Linked DNA regions of Oreochromis niloticus. The protein of the gene in region 2 binds, or shares a complex with, the protein of the main gene of each other region. Links are inferred from orthologs where the notes say so. Each region holds a gene or a part of one and is shown on either strand. Other genes may lie near its edges.

Region 1 (5,195 bases), on a different chromosome or scaffold from region 2:
CTGTCCACCTAATCGTCACATGACTGTTCTCAGGCGAGCTGCAGATCAGCGGGAAGCTGAGTGAAGAAGCTCAGACCTGAGCATTGCTGTCGCAGACCGACTCCCTCAGAGAGCACGCCAGCTCAGCGAGGGATAACTGTCTGCTTCACCTGCCTGACTTTACCTCACACTACAGAATCATCTCCAGGTGTTGTTACTGCATCTGAATAAGAAACATGCACCTGTCCTCCACTTTAACCCCGCCCCTCCACGTACCTGTAGTCGACGTACTGGTCCTTCCAGTCGGCCGGCGTGCTGCCGTTGGGCTTGCCGTGTTTGTCGAGCAGTCCCTTCTGAATCATCATCTTTTTCTGACTCGCCTGATTAACAAAAACTCGTTAAACACTCGATCAGGTTAATGGCTCACAGCTGATCATTGTCAGGCGCACCTTTGGTCCCAGGCCCCATTTCCGGGGATACGTGTCCCTCTCCATGATCACCCTCTTGATCTTTGCCACCACGCCATGGTCACATGTGGAGATCACCGCTGTGGTCATCAGCGCCACCGCTGCACAAAAACAAACTGGTCAATGATCCCATCGCTGATGGATAACCTCAATCGAGCAGAGGCGAAGCCATCAGTTATGGGTGATAGATAGCAAGTCATCACGGCCCGAAAGCTGCTGCAGCTACTCAACTCATCACGTGGCTTACCCTGAGCAGGACGTGACGGCATCACACCACCTAACTCACCTGTGCAGATGGCCTCGCCCTTTGTTGTTATGACAACGATATCCTGGTTCACCTCGATGCCGTCTTCATACCTGAGCACACCTGGCAGCATGATCTTAGCTCCATAACAGATGGCGTTCACCTGCAGACAGATGTTTTCAGTGTCACCTGTGCAGGTAAAATTCAGCAGCTTGGCAACGACTTTTAACCTTGCTGATAGGTGAAATACGGCGAGAGTCTGCCTGGACTTCTACCAAACAGGTGACCTCCACTTTAACATTCACAGCTTTTTTTTTTTTCTAAACTGGGAGGACGGCAAGGAAGACTCACGGCGCTGTCCTTCATCACGAGGCGTTTGTGTGACACGAGCAGCTTCTCCAGCGGGAAGATGACTCGCCGCAGGTACGACTCGTCTTTGTTGTGGTCAAACTGCCACTGAGCATCCAGCACGTCGTGCATCGTCACCAGATTGTCCTGAAACAGAGATCTGGTGAGCGATGTCATCATTAAGTGCAACGATGTCATGTCGGCGATACTTGGGTTCGGGGTTCGGACACGCCATGTCCGCCACCTCTCCATCGCCGTCTCTGTTTCAAAGTTCAATTGACAGACCCACACCGAGCAGCGGGCCTGGACTCAACACTTTGAAACCACAGTGACATCACACAATAAGTGACGCTCACCTTCTCTCCCATGACCCCTGACCGGACCCTCCTCAGCTCCTGCATCTGGCCTCCAACGCCGAGCATCAGGCCCAGGTGGACGCACAGCGTCCGAATGTATGTCCCCGCCTCACAGCTCACCCAGAATATACCTGCGGGAAAGACATAACTTGTGACATCACTACGCTCCCACACAGGTGAAGCAATTAAACGTCGAATGATCGTATCGCTCACCAAGCCTCCTCTCGGGGTCATACTCGATGAGTTTGCTCTCGTAAATCGTTCGAACTCTCAGCTGACGTTTGACGGCGGCGATCAGCGGCGGCCGCTGGAACAGAGCACCCGTCAACGTCTCCAGCCCCTGCAGATACAATCCCAGTCAGTGGAGGTCACATGACTGGCAGCCAGCCAATAAGAGCTTCAGGAAAACTGTATTAGGATGTTTTTAATCAAACAGGAGATTTCAAATGATCGATAAGCACGCTAATCAATACTCGAGCAGATCGATGAGCGAGCGCTTGGCGGCAGGAAGTCTTACCCGGGCCAGAACGTGCTCGCTCTCGATGGCGTTGTGCAGCCGAACTATTCCCACGTACTCTTTACCTGCAACAAACACAGAGAGCAGTGAGGCGGCGGCAGTTTACTGGGCCCACGCCGTGGCGAGGGGCAAAGACAGCGGGCTGGACAACATCAGAGGTTAACCACTTCCTGTCAGCTGATCATAAACTGGTCACACCAATTGATCGCTGCAAAGGTGTGACCTGCCACACGTGAACCAATCAGCTGTCAGATCAACATGTGTGGCATCACAATGCTCAGCTGATCACCTCCGACAGTCGACAGGAACAGGAAGTGGTAATCATTACCTGCGCTTTGTTGGGACTTGACCAATCGCGTGGCTCGGTCGATGCAGACAATCAGGCAGCCTGTGACCTTTGGGTCGAGCGTGCCGCTGTGACCAGTCTTCTCGACCCGAAGGATCCGCCGGATCCACGCCACGACCTCGTGGGATGATGGGTTGGCTGGTTTGTCAAGATTAATGAAGCCTGACCTGACAGGAAACAGCAAGTAGAATCAGAGGGGCACTGGGATGGCGTATCGGTGAGGTGTGCTGGCGGGACGGTACCTGACATAGTCGTGGATGTTCCTCTTCAGTGGGTTGCTGCCGCTTGGTAACGGCGTGTAGTGCGCCGTCCGGATATTCAGCTTATCAAAGTTCTGCAGATAAAAACACACACAAAAAAAAGCAACTTTGTTGGCGTCAAAACATCACTTCCTGTTTGAAGAGCAACAATGGGAAGCAGCACTCTTGGATATGGGTTGCAGTGTCATATGATCAGAACAGGAAGTCGTCTTGGCAGCGGTTGAGTTGCGCCGTTCTCTTGGCGAGGTTCCGGCTGTTGTCCGGCAGAACGCCGGGACACTGCCAGGACCCTGACCGAGAGGCTCCGCCACCAGAACGGGAGCAGAAGCACCGACTGCGACTCAAAGGCAGCACTCAGCGAATGGATAAACAGGTTCATCACATCACACGACCGCGACTTGACAGGAAGTAGTATCGTGACAATTACAAGTAGACTCAGGTGACCTACCTTTAGCAGCAGCGGCCATTGCGACGTGTCCAATGAGGCAACTTTGGACTCTGGGCGGATGAAGAAGTCCCCGCTCTGCTGGATTTCCTGAACAACAAGAAGAAGTTCGTTCACACACTTCAGGGTGCCAGGCACTGAAACAGCGACCTCTGACCTTCTGACTCACCCCAAGGTCTTCTTCACCGACTTTCTTCACTTTCTTCTTCTTCTTCACTGACGTTGCTGGAAAAAAAAACAAAAAAACTTGATATCAGGGTGACAAATGAGCATGCTCAGTCTGTAGGCAGACTTCCTTATGTCTTTGACCTGCTTTAAGATGATCTAACACAAAAGGTGGGGGGGAAAAAAAGTCATCTGGTGCTAAAATGGTGACGACATGAACTGTAATCATTTCTCAGGTTAAATCGGCTCATTCTTCTCTCCCCTCGTGCGCAGCTGCACAACCCACGTGGTTGTGCAGCTGCGCACGAGGGGAGAGAAGAATGAGCCGATTTAACCTGGAGGCCACGTGCCTCCCTGCGACACGTGGTTGTTAGCATGAGGTGGCTAATACACCGAGCTAACAGGCCTTTAATTGCTCAACTTATCAGGCGATTAATAATCAGGATGTTTAACGCGGCCGCAGATCGATGCAGTGAACTGGACCCGATCGTAATAAGCAATCAGTGATCGATCACAGCTGAGACCGACTGAAACTGATTCAAACTCACGAGCTCAGTCAGCACCGAGACCTCCCAGCAGCTCCACCAAACCTGCAGATCGATCAAAATCCGCGGATCTATCCGATTCAGCTCACTGATCAGAACCTTTCAACACATGATCCACCTGAACAGGTAAACTCAGTTTGCGCTTGCAGACGTGCTGCACACACGCCGCTTGTACACACTGGCACGTGTACCTAAGCTCGAACCGTTCCCCAGATCCTCCGAACCTTAAACCCAAAAAACAGACTCGGAGCATTTACGATCAAAAAGCGTTTTGTTTTTTTGTTTTTTTTCTGGAAAACGTGTTTTCCGTTTTTTAAAGGCAGTTCTGCGGAATCGAAGAGGCTGCGCGTAGCGAGCGGGTGTGCGCAGGCGCGGAGGTTCTGGTTCTGTCCGGTCTCTAACATGAATTTGATTCTGATTAAAACTAAAAACTGAAAGTTTGGAAGAAACGAGCCTCGTGCTCACCTCCTGTGTCCGCCATCTTCCGTCGACTGAGCGCGCACAGCGACCCCTTCCTCCTCTTCTCCCCCTGCTCCGTCTTCTTCTTTGGTGTTTGCAGAGGCGGAGGGGTTTACCGCCACCTAGTGTTGTGGAGATCATCAAACGTGTCTTTGGCTGTGTCCGAATTCAGGGGAAGGATGCTTAAAATGCCATATTTGGAGGCAATGACGCCACAGCGACGTGACGAGGACTGTCCGAATTCAAAGAGCACTCAAAATGTGGCGACAAATGTGTCCTACTTTTCCGCGAATTTGAGGGTTAGTCGTGTCCGAATTCAGGGGAAGGATGCGCCAATGCCATATTTGGAGGCAATGACGTCGCGGCGACGCGACGAAGGCTGTCCGAATTCAAAGAGTTCTCAAAATGTGGCGACAAATGCGTCCTACTTTGCCCTGAATTCTAAGGATGGTCCGATGTATCCTTCATGTCCTACTATATCCCAGGAGTCATTGCGGGTCATAGAGGAGATTTGTTTCTGATAACGATGGTGGTCGAAGCAGGAGAGGAAAACACTTTCAAATGTAAGTATATGAAAATCTGGTTGTACAAAAGTTAAATTGTTATAGCGGTCGTTTTGTTAAGCTTTGGGCATCTGCATAGACATGTTTCTTTTCTTTAAAATAACCGTAAACCAGCTTGTATCGGGGGTCCCGCGATTTTTCATGTATTGCCGCTTACATACAGCTAATTTTGATGTTTTCGAATTGGTGATATGTTGTGGGGAACAAAGACCAAACGGCTTAATTTATTAAAACGAGGAGAAAACGATCACCTCTTCACTGGGGTGAAGAATTGGGCCGCTACGGCGTGGATGTACAAGAATAAATCAATTTACGCATCATATTCATATGAGTACGGTCCTATTAACCCTCATGCTGTACAGCAGCGGTCCCCGACCTTTTTGAGCCACAGACCGGTTTATGTCAGACACGGAGCGGCCTTTAAGGTATCGCGGATAAATACAACCACATAAAATGATCCGACCAAGACAAAAACTGTGGTATTTTGTAAATATAATAATA
Region 2 (5,195 bases):
GCTGCGTCCATCCCATCACGATGTCCATCAGGGTGTCGTTGCGTCAGCGCTACGGCATCAAAGTACGACCACGAGGTGGCGCTGAGACGCTCGTTTGGTTTGAGTTAGCAGCCGCTAAGCTAACGTTAGCCAGTGTGGCTCACTTTGTTTGTTCGTTCGTTTGTTTGTTTCAGGGGAATCTCTGTACCGACTGTTTGTGCTCCACCTTCTGTCTGCCCTGCGTTTGGTGTCAAATGGCCACCGAGATGAAGAAGCAGAAGCTCCCCACCATGTTCAGTGACATCATCAGCCAGTGATGATGTCATCAGCATGAAGTCATTGCCCCAGACCGGCCCGTCACAGCCCAGCTCCGCACCAGCAGAAATCAATAATCAATGATCATCAGTGTTTACTGCATTTATCACTTATTTGTTTTTAACAAATCTGTTGTTTTGTTCTGTTGTTCATCTGTTTACTCGATTTAAATGGTTGTTAGCTTAAATTCATTAAAATTAAATTCATGCTTGTGACTGAGCTTAAAGATGAATCGAGACTGTGGAGAGAAGCTCAGCTCAGATCTGATATTTAATCAATGCACAAATATTCAGTTCGTGTGAGCTTTGGAAGGTGATTTCAGGATTCAGAATTTACATGAAATCATTTAAATGATTTTACACAATTCAAGTTTGGCTTCTAGCCAAATTCATTACTGACAAAATAAAAACCTTTAACTTTAAAAAATGGAAATTGTATTTAACCTTTTTTTTAATTTCTTCCAGATCAAATGTAATTAAATAAATACTCTGAATAATGTGTCTGTGTATGTGGAATCAAAAGCATTCATTACTTTTCATTTAGCAGTTTTTCATTTTATTGTCGTGTCACTTTGCAATAAAACCTGATCATTAAGTTTATAAGGAAATATTAATAACGAACTCTCTTCAGATCATTCTGATGAGCAATAATTAATTTTAGTGCGCGTTTGTTTGTTAGCTTCATGTAATGAAAGAAAACTGTCGAGTGTCCACACAGTGAAGCTGGTTTTTAGGTTTTAGGGGGAAATTATTTCCTTCTTGCCGAATCCAAAACTTTCCACTTAAACTTTCACTTTTTTAAATGTTATTATTTATCTCTTTATAAACATAGATATAGATATATATTTACGCTGAATATTTCTGAAGTGTCAGTAAAATTCTGACTAAACCTAAAAAATGAAGTTTGGTATTTTATTTTGAAGGGAGGTGCTGCCGCTGCCCTCCGGGCCGCTGGTGGCGCTGTTGTGGTTCAGCGTTTTCACAAACAGCAGAGAAAGAGGCTTGAAACACGTGTGGGGTCTTTTCTGTGAGCGTGTTGTGATCAGCAGGCAGGAGTCCGAGCAGAAAACAATCAAACGGGTATCGATTACCAGTGATTATCGATCAAAAATGACGAAGGTGAAGAAGGAGAAAGTTTCGGAGGAGGGAGAAGAAGCCGGTACCGGGGGCACCGAGAGGTCGTACCAGGAGCTGATCGCTCACCTGAACCCGATCGCTCAGCCGCTGGCCTCCAAAAAGCTCAGCAAGAAGCTCTACAAATGCGTGAAAAAAGGTGAGAAGAAGAAGAATCCCGCTAACGGCCGGGAAATGTTGGAGATTACTGTTCTGTGGCGCCGAACTCTGTTTAAAAATTCACGAATTTAACGATTTCTTTCTGCTCTGCAGTTGTTAGAGTCGATGCAGGACTTTAAATAAGAAAGTGTTCGAGTCGTTTGAAGCCTCTGGTTAATTCGGCCGTAAACACGTCGCTTATAGATGCACAGTTTGTAATCTATTGGTAATTTTCTGTGGAAAATCAGCGGCTGTTTGTACAGCTTCATCCTCAGTGAAAGGTTCAGTCAGACCCGCTTCCGGTTTCACTGGGCGTTTTAAAAGGCAGCTGCATGTGCTTTTATTTTGATGCTTAGCAGAAGTGTTTTTAGTATGTGAGGAAATCTCCTTCACAGTTTGGTTTGGGAGGGAACTTTTGTTGTCGGGAATCATGTGAACGATGTGTTCACACTGCAGATGTTAAAGCTTTAAACATCCAGATGTGCTCCTCCTGACTTTAAATGCAGTTTGCAGCTGGTCTGGGCTTGAAGAAGGCGCAGAGCCTTCATGTTGCACTTGAGCTTAAAACTGCAGGTTTTTGACTGGAGTCTGGTTTAATGTGTCTCTGCTTCTATCATCCAGCCGCCAAAGTGAAGAACATCCGACGAGGAGTCAAAGAAGTTCAGAAGTTCATCAACAAAGGAGAGAAAGGGTGAGTCGCTGCTGCTGCACCTTTCAGCACGTCCTCGGGTGTGTCCAGGTGTTCGTGACGATCACAGGTGTATTTATGTGTTTCTGATGTGTCTGCAGCATCGTGGTGCTGGCGGGCGACACGCTGCCCATCGACGTCTACTGCCACCTGCCCGTCATGTGTGAGGACAGAAGCCTGCCGTACGCCTACATCCCGTCTAAAGTGGTGAGTGACAGTGGACAGGTGTGCTGAAGGTCTGTCACCTGATGGGGGCGGGCTCTGAACGCGTTGCTCTGTGAAAGTTGGATGGGCGTGGCTGAAACTCAGTCTGTGCTTGCAGAGCGCCGCTCACACAGCATGTGTGTGCACTGCTCGCTGCACTCTCCTCAGCGCAGCAGGAAAACGTTACTGCGCGCACAAACAGTCGACACCAGTGTGTCTCAGAGCGCTGTGTGTGCCACGCCCTCTGTAACAGCAGCTTAGCAAAAGTTGATTCTGTTCATCTGGATGTTTTCAGTGGGAGAAAGGTTTCATCATCATCAGGTGACTTCTTCAGTCTCAGCTGACTGCAGGTTTCCCCAATCTTATAAACAGTACATTTGCATAATGACTGAAACCAGCCCACTGAAGGAACAATGTGCTGGGAGGTCAGTTCCTTCATCATAATTATGCAAATTCTCATGACCACTGATCAGCGGCCATGAGCACCACTGAAAACGCTACGTCCAGAATCAACTTTTGCAGATTTACTTACCTGGATGATTGAGCGTGCATCGAGACGTTTTCAGTAGAAAAGCTTTCTTGCATGCAGATCAAACCACCAACCTTCTGATTAGTCGATGACCTGCTGAGCTTCAGCCAATCAACTAACGAACGTCTGATCATGTGAGACGTGAGCACGCGTCAGCTTCAGACTCTTATTTTCAAATCTTTTGTGATTTCCTGACTTTTAGTGTTGGGATAATTTCTCTTATTTTGAAAAGTCTGTGTGCTTCCAATTCAGTTTTATTTATACAGCAACAAATCACAACAACAGGCTTTTCAGGGAGTTTTTAGGACATCCTGATAATAATGAATTACAGTAGTCCAGCCTGGAAGTAATAAATGCATGAACTAGTTTTTCAGCATCACTCTGAGACAGGATATTTCTAATTTTAGAGATGTTGCGCAAATGGAAGAAAGCAGTCTTACATATTTGTTTAATATGTGCGTTGAAGGACATGTCGATGGGCGATCGTGGCTCAAGAGTTGGGAGTTCGCCTTGTAATCGGAAGGTTGCCGGTTCGAGCCCCGGCTGGGACAGTCTCGGTCGTTGTGTCCTTGGGCAAGACACTTCACCTGTTGTCTGCTGGTGGTGGTCAGAGGGCCCGGTGGCGCCAGTGTCCGGCAGCCTCGCCTCTGTCAGTGCGCCCCAGGGTGGCTGTGGCTACAATGTAGCTGCCATCACCAGTGTGTGAATGGGTGGATGACTGGATGTGTAAAGCGCTTTGGGGTCCTTAGGGACTAGTAAAAGCACTATACAAATACAGGCCATTTACCATTTTACCATTTACCATGTCCTGGTCAAAAATGACTCCAAGGTTCCTCACAGTGTTACTGGAGGCCAAGGTAATGCCATCCAGAGTAAGAATCTGCTTAGATACCATATTTCTAAGATTTTCAGGGCCGAGTACAATAACCTCAGTTTGATCTGAATTAAGAAGCAGAAAGTTAGCGGCCATCCAGGTCTTTATGTCTTTAAGACATTCCTGCAGTTTAACTAATTGGTGTGTGTTACCTGGCTTCATGGATAGATAGAGCTGCGAGTCATCTGCATAGCAGTGAAAGTTCTGACTTTAAAATCTTTTTTTATTTCCTGACTCTTATTGTGAAACTCTGTTCCAGGACCTGGGTTCCTCTGCGGGCTCGAAGAGGCCGACCTGCGTCATCCTCATCAAACCTCATGAAGATTACCAGGAAGCGTATGACGAGTGCTTGGAGGAAGTTTCCAGCCTGCCCAAACCCCTCTGAAGCCCCCACCCCTTCATAAGCCCCACCCCCAAAGGAACAGTTCTTCCTCCAGCTGTGCTAACAGTTTCCATCCACTGCCAGTGTTTGTGCTAAGCTAGGCTAATCCAGCAGGAGGATTTAAATCCAGACCAAACAGACTTCAGATAAAGAACGATGTTGATGTTTGAGTGAAAAATGTTTAGTATAATCGATGTATTGATCTGTGATCAGGTAAAGGCAGATGTTTCACAGATGTTTTTGTTTTTTCTTATTAAAGTCGTTAACGCTGTGACGCGTCTGAACTCGTTCCTGCAGCCGCACAAACATCTTCACTTTTACACTTGATGGATCACGTCGTCTCCTCTCCTTCATAAAGGATGCTTCAGTGTCTCCTCAGCTAAAGGAGGCAATGAAGGAAGCACTGAAGCTTCCTCAGAATGAGACTTAACAGCTGTTTGAAACGTTACCTGTGAAACACGAACGTGAGCTTTAATGAAACAGGTTCAGTTATTATATTTAGACGAGGACGTGCTGAAATGAACAAAAGGATCTAAAAATTATTTATTACAACATTTTTATTTTTTACATTTCATAAAATCTGAACTTAAAATTACATTGTTCTAGGGCTGCTCAATTGATCGAATTTTAATCGTGATTACGATCTGGGCTTTCAACGATCATTAAAAATGACTGAGCCGATTATTAGCTCCTCCTCTCGCGCTGCTCCGTGTGGCAAATCGAGCGCACCTCTCTGCGTTTCGAACACGCGTCACAACAATTAAGAGGACCCGAGGGAAGCTCGGAAAGCTAAGCAGAAGTTATTTGGAGAGGAGAGGATAACGGCTGCTGAAGAAAGAATGCCGCTGGTTGAAAAGAGGTAAAACGACTTCAGTGGTGTGGAAACATTTTGGGTTCACGGACTCAGACGTGGATCAAGTAGACATAGTGTGGAAACTTTGCTACGGTGTCGT

The links. Proteins that work in one complex are often made in the same cells at the same time.
Region 1: nhp2 (region 2) and dkc1 share a complex: the UniProt entries of both Homo sapiens proteins name them as parts of the H/ACA small nucleolar ribonucleoprotein (H/ACA snoRNP) complex. The link is inferred for Oreochromis niloticus from reciprocal best matches to the Homo sapiens genes NHP2 and DKC1.

Annotation. Positions count from the first base shown.
Region 1 is NC_031983.2:30,854,705-30,859,899, forward strand, and holds the start of dkc1 (H/ACA ribonucleoprotein complex subunit DKC1), read right to left. Parts: upstream 3,372-5,195; 5' UTR 3,357-3,371; coding exon 3,272-3,356; intron 3,188-3,271; coding exon 3,132-3,187; intron 3,053-3,131; coding exon 2,966-3,052; intron 2,592-2,965; coding exon 2,500-2,591; intron 2,425-2,499; coding exon 2,240-2,424; intron 1,977-2,239; coding exon 1,912-1,976; intron 1,735-1,911; coding exon 1,608-1,734; intron 1,526-1,607; coding exon 1,395-1,525; intron 1,186-1,394; coding exon 1,042-1,185; intron 854-1,041; coding exon 733-853; intron 690-732; exon of another isoform or gene 613-689; intron 548-612; coding exon 429-547; intron 360-428; coding exon 256-359; intron 1-255.
Region 2 is NC_031975.2:32,975,135-32,980,329, reverse strand, and holds nhp2 (H/ACA ribonucleoprotein complex subunit 2-like protein), read left to right. Parts: upstream 1-1,261; 5' UTR 1,262-1,403; coding exon 1,404-1,566; intron 1,567-2,186; coding exon 2,187-2,256; intron 2,257-2,354; coding exon 2,355-2,460; intron 2,461-4,119; coding exon 4,120-4,245; 3' UTR 4,246-4,513; downstream 4,514-5,195. Other genes in the region: cornifelin homolog B, read left to right, coding at 1-62, 174-296. UniProt on the Homo sapiens protein: Required for ribosome biogenesis and telomere maintenance. Part of the H/ACA small nucleolar ribonucleoprotein (H/ACA snoRNP) complex, which catalyzes pseudouridylation of rRNA.